3 linked regions of the Drosophila melanogaster genome follow. The gene in region 3 interacts genetically with the main gene of each other region. Each region holds a gene or a part of one and is shown on either strand. Other genes may lie near its edges.

Region 1 (5,474 bases), on a different chromosome or scaffold from region 3:
CGGTTATGTGCTTTTGCAGGAAACGCAACTGGTCGACCAATGGTGGCGATTGATTCTCCTCCTCCGCCAATCCCTTAAGGTCCAGATGGGCTGTATGCCTTCTGATGCATTTTTGAATCGAAGGCGAAACATTCTCCATGCGATCTAGAAAGTACAGATCTGTTATAAAGGTGCCCAGCATGGAGGCGTTGCGTAGAATTATGAACTCGTACAGATCATTGACCTGCTTAACGCTCTCGTTGTCCGCCAGCAGAGGCTGCAAGGTGGCCACGATTCTTCCCAGAGAGGGTCCCAGCTCCTGCACATTTACAACATGCAGAAATATGTGCCAAATCTTTAGGCAAATTCGCTGGAGACGAGGCTCCTGCAATGTGTGAACGAAACTCAGCATGGCAATGATTTTGAAGCGAAACTGGGTGACATGCTGGGAGCCCACAAATCGCATAATCTGGCCCAAACTGTACAAAGTCTCCTCCTTCAATGGCTTCTCAAAAGACGGTTCACTTAGGCAGCTCTCGAAGTAGGTGATCACACCGAGGAAACGCTCAGCAATGAAATTCGCAAACTCTGCATTCGCCGTTTGACTTGACAACTCCTCCAAGGAACCGATTGATAACTGCAAGAGGCTTTGAAAGGATCGCATCACGAATGTGGGGTTTCGGTTGAAATATATAAGCAACTCGGCCACCGTTTGCTACAAGTGATAACCAAATCAAATAAAATAAAATAAAAGATAAAATAATAAAATATAAATTAACTTCTGCCCACCTTGACATCCGCATTCATTAGCTGTTGCAGGCTGGACTGGGTGCAACTGACCACCAGCTCGATGCAACTATTGGCCAACTCCGGTTCCTCGGTCAGGAAGACGTGTGTGTAGATCCGCAGGAACGAGATGGAGAACAAGGTGCCAATGTGTTTCTGCATTTGTTTGGCTATCAATACCAAAACTCCCTTGCAAAGCGGATTCACGATGCAATGCGGCAGGACCATGGCAGTCAGAAGGCGATGATACTTGCAGGTGAACTCCTGAACGCACGTGAATCCCAACATTTTCGTAAGCTGCAAACAGACCGGTCAAATTTTGGGAAGTGAAGAAAAGTTCGTCTATTTACGCACCGCTCGGAGGGATCGGGTGAAGCGTACGCCATCCAAAAGATAAACGTTCAAAGCCAGGCGAACGGTGAGGTCGAGAGCATCTCGCTTGTACCAGTTCCACAGATGAATCGTCTGCAGACCCTGGCTGGCACACATCTCGGTGGCCGCCAGCACAGCTTCTTGCGCCACCAGTGAGCGAGTGTGCACCAGAAAGAAGAATGTCATTTTGAACCAGTGAAAGAGCCAGATTTCATTATCCTCCATGTGCGCAATGGCGGTCAGTACGTTGAGCATACTTCTTTGCTGCAGCACATTTTGCTCTGTCAGTGGCTTTGCTAGCATTGCTTTTATAGCAGCTAGAACAAGATTGGCTAATTGCTCCAAGAATTCTGGCGAACGCACACGCATCGCAGAGACCAGCTGGCCGATAACCTTAACGCTAACCTTTTGCAGTGCCTCCGTTTCTCTTAGCAGGCCAAGAATCACATTGGGTTCAAAGCACAGAAGGTCCAGATGCTGGGCAATACATTCAAAATCGGGATAAAACAATAAATCATTTGCTATCATTTCGAGGTTGGTGCTTGAAAAGTCTGGACATGGCAGCTGTTGCTTGCATTTTCCGAGGTAAATACCTGGCAGTTTCTTTGGCAGTGGCCTGCATTTCGGGCAGTATAGCTCAATGCGATCTTTGACTTTAAAGACACTCAATTTACCTGGCTGGGAGCAGAGCAATAGGCGTATAACTTGAGCGCGGCCACTACGATTGTTAATGGTGGGCAGAGCTTTCATCAGTTGCTCCGGCTTTATGAAACCCGATATGTACAACTGCGGAAGGTTGCTACAGAATATCTCCTGTGTCTCCTCGGATTGAAATAGCCTCATGTACTGCTGGGCATAGAAGCTTTGCATTTGGGTATGAACACTAGAAGGTGTCTCCAAGCGAATGGCGCAAAGGTAGGACAGCTTCAAATGTCGCTGAAGAATGGCCAGCAGCTGGTGTTGCGTTTGAGTCTTTAAAAAGTGCCGGATGAAGGTGATTTGCATCAAAAGGGAGCAGATTTCCAAGTGTATGTGTCTTCGGTCTGCGGAACACTTTGATTCCAGCTCAACCAGCTGCATTGAAAGGTTATTCCAATTGGTATCCGCAACCTTTATGATTTCACACTGCAGCGGTAACATGGCCAGAACTGAGGAATCGATGTGACCTTCGTGCTCAGCTATTTTATGCTGACTCTGTGACAGAATTAGTTTCTCCAGCTGCTTGAAGCCTCGTAAAATAGCAATCAGTTTCTGCCAATCCTTCGACAATACTTCTTCCTTCTTCAAGATTTCAACGAGACTTTGGGTAAGCACTTGGACCACTCCTGAGCGCATCTCAGTCTGTTTCAAGCCCATTAGCGCCAATATGGGCACCAAATGTGTGGGGTGGCAGTGCCAATGGCTTAACATAAGCTGCTGCAAGTGCACCAGTTGCTCCAATGGTACAACCGAATGCTCTAGCTGGCCTTGAATATAGGAACTTAGGGTCTCCAGCAGTCCATCGTCCAATTCAATGGCTGTCGGCAAACTAAGGATCTCGTTCAAAAGCAGGTAGCCAAGATGGTGGGCTGGACGTGCACGCATATGCAGAACTTCTAGCAGTAGCTTTGTTGTTATATTGAGCCGTTTTAGCTCCTGGCGCGTCATACATCCCATGTCCAGCCACTTGGCTACTGCCGACCACATGATTGCCGTCGCCTCCAACGTTAATTGCGCATAATGTCCAACGTCCGGATTTGTTATCCAGCTGCTGGCCGACTGTGATCGTAGGACATTGTGACAGTAATTCAAGCTGGCCAGTTTTGTGTCCATGTCGCACTCCTTGAGGATTAGCAGAGCCTGATGAAGGCTGCCCGAGAAGATGTCGCCGTGCGTGGCGTATCCAATGTGATGGGCATGCTGGAGGACCTCCAGCAGGCTCTTGGCATACATGTCGGCTTGCTCAAGGGGCACCTTGATGTCCTCGATAGCGCAGTGCGGATCGAACTCCTGCAGGCATTCCACATCGCATCGGAATATTCTTACAGTTATGGCGGGTTTTCGCTCATTACTCAATTGGCCGAGGTCCAGGGAACTTAGCTGAAGGTGCGTCTCCTCAATGGCTTCCACATAGGCCAGTACAAGGCGTTCAAAAAGCTTAGGATGATTGGAACAGCAGGAGCTCAGTATTTTCCTTTGAAGATTGATGCACTCGCTGCAGCAGAAAAACGGTGTGTCATAAGTTTGGAGTCCAATGCTTGTGGCTCATCTTACCTGCTATCTGGAGATTCACTAAGGCACTTGGCCAGCTTGTTGAGCAGCCAGAGTAGGAATGTGTCCTGGAATTTGTTGTGCAGCTCCCGCACCAACGAACAGCTTATCAGACTCGGCTCCTGGCACAATATGTCTTCTATAACGCTGTACACGCCGGAAAAGTTGCTTACGTTCCGGTTTACGTGGTTGTAAAGCAACTTCCACATATCCTTCCGTTGTGTCGACATTTTGCCAAGTTTATTTAAAACTCGCAAAAACGCGACCTTTGTTTACGAAAGCCGGCATTCGCCGCACTTGTGGCTATCGATATGTTTGGCAGCTTCTTCTTCTTTTTCTTGAATAACAGCCACGTTCCAACTGCGATTTTACATATATTAATTTAAAAAAAAATTAGTTAATATATGTTTACATTACCGCGTTTTACACTTATTGACAATTTTCTTTTTCTCCTCAAATTTAAGATTTACATTGCATAATATGAAATTAACAGAAGAGTTTGCTAAGTGTAAACGGCGCATAACCCGCGTAGGTGTGCGCGTCGTGGTTAACAATTTACAGTCACACTAAAAATGCATAGTTAATCAAAATAAGAAAAATATTTTTATGTTATTGTAAATAAGTTTTTGAGAAAAAATGGAAGTGGAATACGACGACTCTGGTTGGCAGGGCCGCGCCAAAGGACAAACCAATCCGGAGGTAATTGAGTATAGAGCGTGTACGGCGTGGCAGGCAATCCCGGCAATTTGATGACGCTACTAGATAAACCATAAAAAATAACAACTAAACATCATGTTATCCCATCCCAATCGAAGGAAACGCTTGAGGACAATCCGCAGAAGACGATACAGGAATGCCTGGAGAAGTTCCTCACACCGGACTACATCATGGAGCCGGGGATATTTACGCAGCTGAAGCGCTACTTTCAGTCGGGCGGATCTCCGGAGGAGGTTATATCGATGCTATCCGAGAACTACAAGGCGGTGGCCCAGATGGCCAACCTGCTTGCGGAATGGCTCATCCTGGCGGGCGTCAAGGTTACCGAAGTCCAGGCCATGGTGGAGAATCATCTCAAGGAAATGATTCTTAAGTCCTTCGATCCCAAGAAGGCGGACACCATATTCACGGAGGAGGGTGAGACGCCCGACTGGCTAACCGAGATGATCGACCACTATACGTGGCGCTCGCTAATCTACCGACTGGCCGAAGAATATCCCGATTGTCTAATGCTGAACTTTACAATCAAGTTGATCTCGGACGCGGGCTTCCAGAGCGAGATCACTTCCATTTCGACAGCGGCACAGCAGATTGAGGTTTTCTCGCGGGTTCTAAAGACCTCGATCGTCAAATTTCTAAACAATCCGGATGATGTGCACGGTGCCATTCAGGAGTGCGCACGAATGGTCTGCCATGGCCAGCACACTTACGTATACTCCCAGGTGCTCATCCAGGTCCTCAGCCAGGAGCAGAAGGGTGGGTTCAACATGAAGCGGCTCTCTCAGGAAATTATTAAATACGCCCTGCAGAAGTATGAAAATAACTGACGATTCCACATAGTTAGTCATAACATAAATCCTTTCTTTTGCTTCATTGTTTAGCAATCAAAATGTAACGCCTATTACAATGGCCCTGAATGGTTCGGCAGTCTATCCGCAAGCATGTCAAGCCCTAACTTCCATGCTCACCCGCAATACACTGAATCCCGCCGATATCACCGTGCTGTTTCGCAACTACTCCGGTTCCGATCCACCGCCCATCGACTTGATACGAAACCCCCAGTTTCTGGAGCTACTGGTAGACGCGCTCTTTCGTTCCGGCGTTAAAATCAATCCCGAGCACAAACCGAAGTATATGTTTCTGCTAGCCTACGCGTCCGCGGTCATCGACCAGCCGGCCAAAAAGCGACCAATGACTGAGCGCATGCTAAACAAGGAGGAGCTAAAGAGCACCATTCAGGCTATCGAAAAGGCACACACCATTTGTAATGTGGACCAGGGATCCACCGAGCTAATCGCCGAGTTGCAAACGCTGTATAATTGCATCAAGTAAGGCGACCGATGTATATCAAAAAATTATTGGTTTCCCTT
Region 2 (5,694 bases), 1.4 Mb from region 3:
TCCATTTCTGCATTGAGTGTAGTGTGGTCCTGGACCTCCTCGGTGGACTCTTCGCTGTTCCAAAAATTGTAGGTGGTACGCAAGCGCAATTCAGAGTCGAAACTAGGAAGAATGTTGTGCATCAGACGATTGGAAGCATTTATAGAGCCCACAGTGGAGTTCAGCTTGCCAAACACAGGATCCTGCAAGGGAGCCGTATCCAGCCGGCTGTTCAGCGTTTCTCTGTTTTTGGTCACGGTGGATATGGGTTTCTTTTGCCGTTTGGGCTTCGGTGCTGCTTCTTTTGCTGCCTGTTGCGCTGAGTCCTGACCCTCGCCAGTAGCCTGTTCACCTTGGGGGCCATCATCATCCTCGGCAGCATTTATTTGCTTATCCGTAAGAGTTCGTGCACTCAAGCCAGCTGAAATGCGCATGGCGTCCAAGTAGATGGAGTCCACACGCAGGCCGTAAACCTTGGAAGAGGCTTCTAAAGAGGAACCAGCCATCTAGGGTATAACATCATGAAATTATTACATTTACATAAACTGAATGAGGCAAAACCCACCTTGAAGTTGCTCATGCGCTTGTGATGGTGATCCAGCAAATTGGCCAACGAATCGATGAGCATCAGGTTCCAGGCGTTGTCCTTGCTCACCTTGTTGCCATTGTAGAGCTCCAAGCAATTTTTGATGGTCTCATTGTCCTCGATGGACTCCAGAGTGCTCGACCGGTGATGCTGCTGAAGGAGCGTGCGACGTCGGGCTTCCCGCCTTTCCGCCTCGTCGTCGTTAAAGGGGGTTAGCATGCGGGACACCCCCTCCTGGTAACTGCCTACTGCGGACCGCCTGAGCGGAGTTTCTAAGCGGGGCAGAGTCATCCTTTCAAGGAAGTGGATAAATCAGAGATGAAGTCAGAGAACAGCACAAGGAATTTTGGTTGCCGTAGGCTGATGGTTTTGGAGAGTGTTAATAAGCACACTCACTTTTAATAATAGCTGTGATCCCAATTCGACAGTTTTGAATTTTTTGTTTTTTGATGATTTGTTGATTGTATTTTGTCTATTTCTGTTTTTGCGCTGGTATTGGTAATAGTTTACAGTTTCTTTCAAACGACGCCGCAATTTAGGGCTGCATTTCAGTGTTGGTTAAAACTAAAGGTGTGCCAAGCTAGCTAGATAATATGGACAGGAAAATCGCTAAAGAATTAGCTATAAAGTATTGCGGAATATAATTAACTAGTATAAACATGATACATAATTTTATCATATGAGAAAAATGAAATAAACAAACTTAATTTACACCTTAAAGCTTCGAAATCGAATAAAAACACGATAGCTTACAATGGAATTTCTTTAAGTTCAGGGCTGCACAGGTCCTGCCAGTGCTGAATGGATTTCAACAATGGATGGCCGTTAAATTTCAAATACATGTACCATATTAAAGAAACTACGATCTGTAAAGGAATTAATCTGTTTCAATACTTTTAGTTTTTTATATAATTTTCAGTCCGGTAGTTAATTAGTATTTTTTCTTTTGACAATAAAGTCTTAACCTAAGCAATATTTAATTTGTAAAAACCCTTAATTTTTCCTTGGGACTCTTGCCAACACTGGCGCTGATAATCACCCCATCCCTGGAAGGCGGCAACTTTTACACACACTGCCGCAGAAATTGTAGTCCCTCGCGCAGTTCACATCGAACCAATGTCGTGATTTTTGTTAGTTTTCGTTGTTTTCGTCTGATAAACTCTAAATAACTATCAGCCAGCGCTGTGCGAAAAGCTCGATGTAATCGAATTGGGCAGAAGAAACGCTCAGAGATTCAAACCCATAGCTTCTATAGATCTATAGCTTTTCCGAAGATCGGACTCCTCGTGTATGTGTGCATTTCTGCCTGTGGTAGTGCTGGAGTAACTGGACATTTCGAATTTACGCAGTTCCAGGCAAACCTAACGGGTTTTCCAGTTCGACTTGCGGAATAGCAGGAATACGAGATTACGGGGCTACGGAGTTTCGGAGTTTTGGAATCACTATGGCACGCGACACACAAGGAACGCAGGGAACCCAGAGTCAGGCCTCCAATATCTGGACGCAGGTGGAGAGCCAGCCGATGGAGAAGATAGTCTGGGGTCGATTGTACGGCAAGAACATTAAGATCAAATCGCTGGGTACGAGTTCAAAATACCGAATCATTTATACGCATTCGTCCTTTTCTGTTGGTAACCACATTTCCTCCTGTTTTGTGTCCCCATTGCGTGTGCTCCTCATGTATTAATGACGATCCCATGCTGAACTGTTTGCAGATCTCAACAACGACGAGTTCACCGCAGGACGAGGGGAGGCCAACGACTTGATCCTCACGCTCAACGATTTGCCCGAGAAAATCCTGACGCGCATTTCCAAAGTGCATTTTATCATAAAGCGGGCAAACTGCGAACTTACCAATCCAGTTTATATTCAGGTAGGTGGAAGTTCCAAACCCAAAAGCTCTGAAGGAAGCCTTGAAAAAAAAGATAGCAAATTCAGAACCCACAAGAGCAGAATTCAAATTAAGTTTTATTTATGTTTTGTTGAGATTATCAAAAAAGGTAACTTCAATATTGAATATTTCCCACAATTAATTTACAAAAAGAAGTTACTATTCCGTATAATTCCGTATATTATTAAAATGTAGTAACCTTGTTTCCGCCCATTTCGCAGGATCTCTCACGCAACGGGACGTTTGTGAATAACGAGAAAATTGGCACAAACAGGATGCGAATCCTAAAGAATGACGACGTAATTTCCCTGTCCCACCCAACGTACAAAGGTAAGCGATCGACAAGCAGGTATAGCTATCGACAAGGACTCGCAAGTAATTTGATGTTTTGCACCTGCCCTCCCTTGTAGCCTTTGTATTCAAGGATCTCAGCCCGAATGAGTCGATCGGGCTTCCCGAGGAGATTAACAAGACGTATTATGTAAATCGCAAGCTGGGATCTGGAGCGTACGGACTGGTGCGTTTGGTCTATGACACCCGCACCTGCCAGCAGTTTGCGATGAAAATCGTTAAGAAGAATATGCTCTCTGGGGCGCGACCCAGTACCAATTTCAGTGATCCCGACCGGGTGCTGAACGAAGCCAAGATTATGAAGAATCTTTCACATCCGTGCGTGGTTCGCATGCACGACATCGTGGACAAGCCGGATTCTGTGTATATGGTGCTGGAGTTTATGCGCGGCGGCGACCTGCTTAACCGGATCATCAGCAACAAACTACTTAGCGAGGACATCTCGAAGCTTTACTTTTACCAAATGTGCCATGCCGTCAAGTACCTACACGATCGGGGTAAAACAAATTAGTTTTATTTGGGTTCGAATGTGTTGCTGATTAAGCAAGCCGTTCATTTCTGTTATGCAAATAAGTAAGTCTTCGGAATGGTCATTGAAAACGCCCTTAATTGCAAATCATTCCTGCGCCTTTACGAATTTGCTAGTACGACTACTGCGAACACATCAATCGAATTATTCAACTAACTAGTTTCTACCTTTCAGGCATCACCCATCGTGACCTTAAGCCTGACAATGTTTTGCTGGAGACCAATGACGAGGAGACCCTACTGAAGGTCTCCGATTTCGGGCTGAGTAAGTTTGTGCAGAAGGACTCGGTTATGCGCACGCTCTGTGGCACACCTCTCTACGTGGCCCCTGAGGTGCTGATTACCGGCGGCCGAGAAGCCTACACCAAGAAAGTGGACATTTGGAGCTTGGGAGTGGTGCTATTTACTTGGTAAGTCATTATGTTATTCTCCTACGAAGATAACTTAGCAATATACTCATATCTTGCAGCCTGAGTGGCACTCTGCCCTTTTCGGACGAGTACGGCACCCCGGCGGCCCAGCAAATAAAGAAGGGCAGATTCGCGTATGGACACCCTTCTTGGAAGAGTGTCTCGCAGCGCGCCAAGCTGCTGATCAACCAAATGCTCATTGTGGATCCCGAGAGGCGACCCTCAATCGACGACGTTTTGCAGAGCAGCTGGCTGCGCGATGCGCCCATGCTGCAGAAGGCGAAGAGGCTGATGAAGCTCGATGGCATGGAAATCGAGGAGGAGAACTTCCTTGAGCCACCCACCAAGCGATCGCGACGCTAGGTTTCGTTTCTGTGTTTCCATCGTTAATACGTGAGGGTCGAGGCGCGAAAAGGTTTTAATTTTCTGGAAAAATTAAGCGACAACATTTTTCCCAAAACGCCGACACCGCCGCATCCGAGTGTATTGGCGAATTTAAGTATTTTTTGCGGTTGTTAATTTTTACGTGTTGTCTAGTGTAAGTTTCATCGCCCAAGCCCGGTTTATCCTGTTAAACTGCATTTAAACTGGGCTGCTGCTTCACAATTTTTTTAAGATTCCTATCGATTTGAATTCTGCCATTTCATTGGACTATTATTACGATTTATTACTTGTAACTGTTCAGTAACTATAAGTGTTAAATGTAAGAATGACTCTTCAGCAAACCATTCCGCTTTTTGAAATAAAGCAATTGAATTTGTTCGGCAGCAAAATTATTTGATAGCGTGCGTCACCATTTTGCGGCCATGTCCAATGGTGATGAGGGTGCTATCATCGGTCCAAACGGCATCAGTTAGGCGAGAATGGGTGTCCTGGTGCGTGTAGATGAACTCATGGCCCGCCTGCACATTGGCCACTTTCACGGAGGCGGGCAAATTGCTCATCGCAGCCAGATGGGGCCTGAAAATATGTGCGTTAATGCAAATCGTCATTGTTTCGCTTAAACTTGTACCCATTGATTAATAACTGGGCGACATGGCCCTTGTCGAAGTATTCCCTGGTTTCCGCCAGTTTTCGTGGCACTCGAATGTCCAGAGTATGAACTTTGCCGTCATAGTCCCCGAGATAGATGTGATTGTCACCCTGCAGCTCCGAGGCAGCTGCCCAGGCGGCACTGGTGAAGCTCAGCACGTGGCTGGCATCCGCATAGAGGCACGTGGAAGATGGAGCCGCTGCCCGGACATCCCAAAGGCGGGCACAGCCGCCACGATCACAGGTCACAAATTTATCGACTGAAGCTGCGGGTGTGGCCAGGCCAGTCAACTTGTCGGTATGCGAGGAGCGCGATCTGTAGGTGCTCACCATATCGGCGCCCGAGAGATCCCAGACCTGCAAAAGGGTAACATTTGTATATTTTCCATACATCCACATCACCTTTATACATACATTGAGGGTACTGTCCGCTGAGCCCGAAACGGCAGTGCGGGGATCCGCCTTGAAGACGCTCAGTTGGCTGATGGGTGTGGGATGCGCACTGGACTCGCCCACGAGGAAGAGGCAGTATGGCGACTGAGAATCTCGCACCTTGGAGTATGTGGACCAGGCCTGGAGTCGGGTATCCCCAAGGGCCACCAGTAGGAAATCATCCTCAGCGTAGCGCACAATGTTCACCGTGTGCTCCGCCTGCAGCTTGAAGTTCGCCGAGTCCACGCTCATATGGTGCATCTGGTCGCGTCCGTAGCCGAACAACATGCCCCACCATTGGCGTCCTTCGCGTCGGTTTGTGGCCAGGGCCAGGTGGTTGTGATCATTGATAGCGATGCTGTCCCAGCAGTCGTGCAGTCGCGGCGAAAGGTTTTCCAATCGCGCGTTTAGGTCCGCAATGTTGAGGTTCGGGTACTCCAGATTCCCGGCCAGCTCCAGTGCCGGCGGAGGCTGGTGGGTCACCG
Region 3 (4,708 bases):
AGCTATGCCATCTACATTTACAAGGTTCTCAAGCAGGTCCATCCTGACACCGGAATTTCGTCGAAGGCGATGAGCATAATGAACAGCTTTGTAAATGATATTTTCGAGCGAATTGCTGCCGAAGCGTCTCGTCTAGCTCACTACAACAAGCGCTCGACCATCACCAGTCGGGAGATCCAAACGGCTGTTCGCCTGCTTTTGCCTGGAGAGTTGGCCAAGCATGCTGTCAGTGAGGGAACCAAGGCTGTCACCAAGTACACCAGCTCTAAATAATTTTCTCCTGCGAATGCGGACAATAATCCAAAACGGCCCTTTTCAAGGCCACAATGTGTTATACCAAAGAAATGCATTTTTCAACTACCAATCATCGAATATGAATTTACAAATAAAACTTATTTACCCGCAATATGGGTAATTGGGTAATGTTCAAATAAATACAAAAAAATCGGGAACGAAAACTGAATGCGACCAACATGCAATGTAATTCATGACATGAAACGTTTTATTGTTGCTGCGAACGTCAGCTAATAAATAAGTGGAAGAAAATAAAAGTTTTTTTCTCTTGCAACGGAACGTTGTAGCCCTGAAAAGGACTTGTTTAAACAAATTTCAGATCTATAAATCATAAATCTAAAATTTTAATTGCGAACATGTACCAAATACTGCACTTTTTCACAATTTACTTTTTGGCAGCCGTAGTCTTCGCTTTCGGCTTCTTGGCGGTAGCAGAAACCGATGCTTTCTTCACCGTCTTTTTGGGTTTTGCAGACACCGCTGGCTTTGCCTTTGACGCTTTCGCTACTACAGCCTTTGGCTTCGCTGCAGTCACTTTCGCCTTTGTTGCGGCGGGCTTCGACTTTATGATTCCAGTTTTCTTGGCATCCTTGGCTTTTGCCTTCTCAGTTTTCTTATTTTCGGCAGTCTTTTTGGTAGCCACAGCCTTCTTAGCTTTGGGCTTTTTGTCAGCAGCCCCAACGGCAGTTTTTTTAGAGGAGACACCAATCTTCTTAGAGGCTACCTTCTTGCTTTGAACTTTTTTCTCAGCAGACAAAACCTTCGACTTTGCCTTCGGATCCTTTTCCTTCTTGGCAGAGGCCGACAGTTTGAAAGATCCAGATGCACCCTTTCCCTTAGTTTGGATAAGCTTTCCATTGACCACGGCCGATTTTAAGTACTTCTTGATGAATGGCGCTAACTTTTGGGCGTCGCATTTATAAGTGGCAGTGATATATTTTTTGATTGCCAGAAGTGATGAACCGCCACGTTCCTTTAAATTTTTAATGGAAGCGTCCACCATTTGCTGAGTTGGCGGATGTGACGGCGTCGCAGAGGCTTTCTTTGCCTTTGTGCCAGCAGATCCAGATGCCTTTTTTTGGACCACTTTCTTCTCAACTGTCGCTGGTGGGGCAGCCACTGGGGAAGCGGACGTTGCAACTGCAGAATCAGACATCTTTTTTTCACTGAGAACACTTTTTTTCTGTTAAAAATGGCTCGCGCGCTGCCTACCAACCTCCTTTGCTCTGATGAGAATCGAGGAGGAGAGCACTTTAACAATGCTACTGACATCAGTCATTTACTATGTCGAAGTTTGCTTGAAGTGTAAACTTTTTTTAATTTTTTAGTATTTTAAATCATTAATAAAAATAAGGTTTTAATAGTTCTACACTTTTAAATAATTTTTTCGTCACTTTCCATTTTTAAAAGGATGTAATATGGGTTTTGAGACTTTCAAATGTTGATTGAATTTTTATATTCAAATTTTTAACTGGACCAATTTATAAAAAAACATCTAATAAAATAAGAATCATTGCAAATATTTCACTAATTCGTAATGTTTATTAAAATTGAAACGTTCATCCCCTAGAAGGGCTTCTGAAAGAAGCGTCTATTATTAATTAAGATACTTTATTACTTGATTTAAGTTCACATTGAACTACAGAAAAATTTGCTTTAAAGCAGCATTCAGAAATAATTTTCGATCGTTAAAAATACAGATACTTTCTTAAATAACATAATATTAATATAATAAATAATATTTTCTTAAATTATTAATGTGTTTGCTTGTTATTAATGTGTTTTCATGCATATTTTAAAATAATTTGTTCTGAAATCAATCGATTTCCTCGCCACATATGCATTACCGTCTATGTAGTCAAATAAATAAATCAAATAAAAAATAAAAAGAAACAATTTTTGTATTATCCTTTATTATGTAATATATATTACATTCCGCAACAAAATTAGCCAATTTCCGTGCTGAATTTTACATAGGTTTTATTTTTTACAGACGTTTGAAGGGACAGTGTCAATTGTCCCGTACGACCTCTTCAATAATAACACATTCTTCAGTTAACACATGGAAAAAATATAAAATAGCTAGTTTTATTTTATTATTTTCTGTTATTTTATAAATATTGCCGTCATCAATGTAATTTCATTAATTTCAAACTGTCTTACACAGAATTCAGATTTTTTTTTAGATGTTTAAGGTTCAGAGTCCCTTTCCCCGCACGACACTTTCACTGCTTTAAAGGATGTTCGCACAAAGAACAAATAAAAATATATATTTTTATATATATTTTATATTTATTAACCTCTTCTTTAATTTAATAAATGTCGAGCTTACAATTAAAATAAGATTATTTTTATTCCTTCTCTGGCAGAATTAGTATTTTTACATATGATTTAAGACCCAGTACCGTTTGCGCCATAAATAATAGAATATGAATTTTGTTCTTATTTTTTTTTTAAAGTTATAAATAGTCGGCAACAGAAAATTTTATCTCATTGAATCTGGTTTGTGGTCCTGAAAAGGACCGATTATAGAGTACGCTAGCGCTTTATCTGCAAGTTAATGCCGTGTCAGCTTAAGCACGCTCGCCGCGAATGCGTCGCGCTAACTGGATGTCTTTGGGCATTATGGTGACACGCTTGGCATGAATGGCACACAAGTTGGTATCTTCGAAGAGACCAACCAGGTAGGCTTCGCTAGCTTCCTGCAGAGCCATAACCGCCGAGCTCTGGAATCGCAAGTCCGTCTTAAAGTCCTGAGCGATTTCACGCACCAGACGCTGGAAAGGCAGCTTGCGGATTAGAAGCTCGGTGCTCTTTTGGTAGCGACGAATTTCACGCAAGGCCACGGTTCCAGGGCGATAGCGGTGGGGCTTCTTCACACCTCCGGTGGCTGGAGCACTCTTGCGAGCGGCCTTAGTAGCCAGTTGTTTGCGTGGCGCCTTTCCACCAGTCGATTTGCGAGCAGTTTGCTTGGTACGAGCCATCTCCGATTTGGGTTTCACTAAAGTTCACGTTCACTACTTCACGTTTGAAAACACAATAAACGATCAGAGCATTTGCTACCTACTTATATAGCAATCGTGGACGGTGAAAGAGAGAGAGAGAGAGAGAGAGAAAAACGGAGGCCATTTCATTTGACGAGCGAAAAGCGAACGAACATATCGTTCGTACTCTCTCGGGTTTTTGTCGTTTTACCTATAAATAGGGGCACACAGAAACGTTGAAATTAGTTCTTTAGTGACTTTCGTGCTGTGCGTGTATAATAGTATAGAACAGTGAAAAATGACTGGTCGTGGTAAAGGAGGCAAAGGCTTGGGAAAGGGTGGCGCCAAGCGTCATCGCAAAGTGCTGCGTGATAACATCCAAGGTATCACGAAGCCTGCTATCCGCCGTTTGGCCCGTCGAGGCGGTGTGAAGCGCATATCTGGACTCATATACGAGGAAACGCGTGGCGTTCTGAAGGTTTTCTTGGAGAACGTAATTCGTGATGCCGTGACCTACACGGAACACGCCAAGAGGAAGACAGTTACAGCCATGGATGTTGTGTACGCTCTGAAGAGGCAAGGCCGCACCCTCTACGGATTTGGCGGTTAAAAAGTGTACATCCTGTGTACCCCTATTAAGCAATCGGTCCTTTTCAGGACCACCATTCAGTTTTTAAAAGGAGGAAGATTTTCAAAAAGTATTTAATTTTATTGGTCGGGACTCCCAAAAAATATGTTAAACTAAAAATAAATGTCTGTTGTTCGTACTCTTTCAAATAGAATGTGTATTTCTAACATGGATTTGTACAGACTGTACAAATGGTTTCAGACACCGCATGTACAGCATCACATCGTGGTGTGCGATTGTTTAAAGAAGCAAATTATAGTTTATACCGCATATAGTAGAAAACCCTTACTACATTACCATCTTTACGTTAATAATTCTTTATGATTTACTAATTACAACAAATTGCCAAGCTAAAAAATTTTTCAATTCTTTGGTAATAATTTGGTCGTCCTGAAAAGGACGGTTTGATTGACGATTTTATGTACATGTAGGTTTTTAGCTTAGCCTTTGAAACGTTTAGGCCTTCTTCTCGGTCTTCTTGGGCAACAGAACAGCCTGTATATTAGGCAACACGCCACCTTGTGCAATTGTGACGCCGGAGAGCAGCTTGTTTAACTCCTCGTCGTTGCGGATGGCCAGTTGCAGATGACGCGGAATAATTCTAAACCGGCACGGTTTGAGCGGGACTTTGCCTTTCCCTTCACTTTGCCACCTTTTCCACGTCCAGACATTTTGCTTTGCGTTTATTTCACTTAGTTCACTTTACGCACGGAACACGAATGCTCGCCTAACCCAGACAGCGAAATATTTATACTTTTCCGTTTGCCTGCGCATTCAGTTAGGGGTGGGTGACTTAGACCTG

What was found. A genetic interaction does not mean that the proteins touch.
Region 1: of His1:CG31617 (region 3) and mei-41, changing one suppresses a phenotype caused by changing the other (phenotypic suppression), as found in Drosophila melanogaster (one study listed by BioGRID).
Region 2: of His1:CG31617 (region 3) and lok, changing one suppresses a phenotype caused by changing the other (phenotypic suppression), as found in Drosophila melanogaster (one study listed by BioGRID).

Annotation. Positions count from the first base shown.
Region 1 is NC_004354.4:16,389,904-16,395,377, reverse strand, and holds the start of mei-41 (meiotic 41), read right to left. Parts: upstream 3,681-5,474; 5' UTR 3,618-3,680; coding exon 3,391-3,617; intron 3,332-3,390; coding exon 1,120-3,331; intron 1,063-1,119; coding exon 769-1,062; intron 695-768; coding exon 1-694. Other genes in the region: TH1, read left to right, coding at 4,024-4,086, 4,203-4,915, 4,986-5,432. UniProt on the Drosophila melanogaster protein: Serine/threonine protein kinase which activates checkpoint signaling upon genotoxic stresses such as ionizing radiation (IR), ultraviolet light (UV), or DNA replication stalling, thereby acting as a DNA damage sensor.
Region 2 is NT_033779.5:20,059,868-20,065,561, forward strand, and holds lok (loki), read left to right. Parts: upstream 1-1,554; 5' UTR 1,555-1,853; exon of another isoform or gene 1,854-1,914; 5' UTR 1,915-2,009; coding exon 2,010-2,196; intron 2,197-2,280; coding exon 2,281-2,438; intron 2,439-2,677; coding exon 2,678-2,786; intron 2,787-2,866; coding exon 2,867-3,304; coding exon of another isoform or gene 3,305-3,318; exon of another isoform or gene 3,319-3,451; intron 3,452-3,510; coding exon 3,511-3,745; intron 3,746-3,804; coding exon 3,805-4,108; 3' UTR 4,109-4,514; downstream 4,515-5,694. Other genes in the region: barr (barren), read right to left, coding at 1-485, 545-856; vls (valois), read right to left, coding at 4,519-4,705, 4,758-5,134, 5,192-5,694. UniProt on the Drosophila melanogaster protein: May have a role in germline establishment.
Region 3 is NT_033779.5:21,418,756-21,423,463, reverse strand, and holds His1:CG31617 (histone H1), read right to left. Parts: upstream 1,610-4,708; 5' UTR 1,451-1,609; coding exon 680-1,450; 3' UTR 587-679; downstream 1-586. Other genes in the region: His2B:CG17949 (histone H2B), read left to right, coding at 1-273; His3:CG33803 (histone H3), read right to left, coding at 2,868-3,278; His4:CG33909 (histone H4), read left to right, coding at 3,577-3,888. UniProt on the Drosophila melanogaster protein: Histones H1 are necessary for the condensation of nucleosome chains into higher-order structures.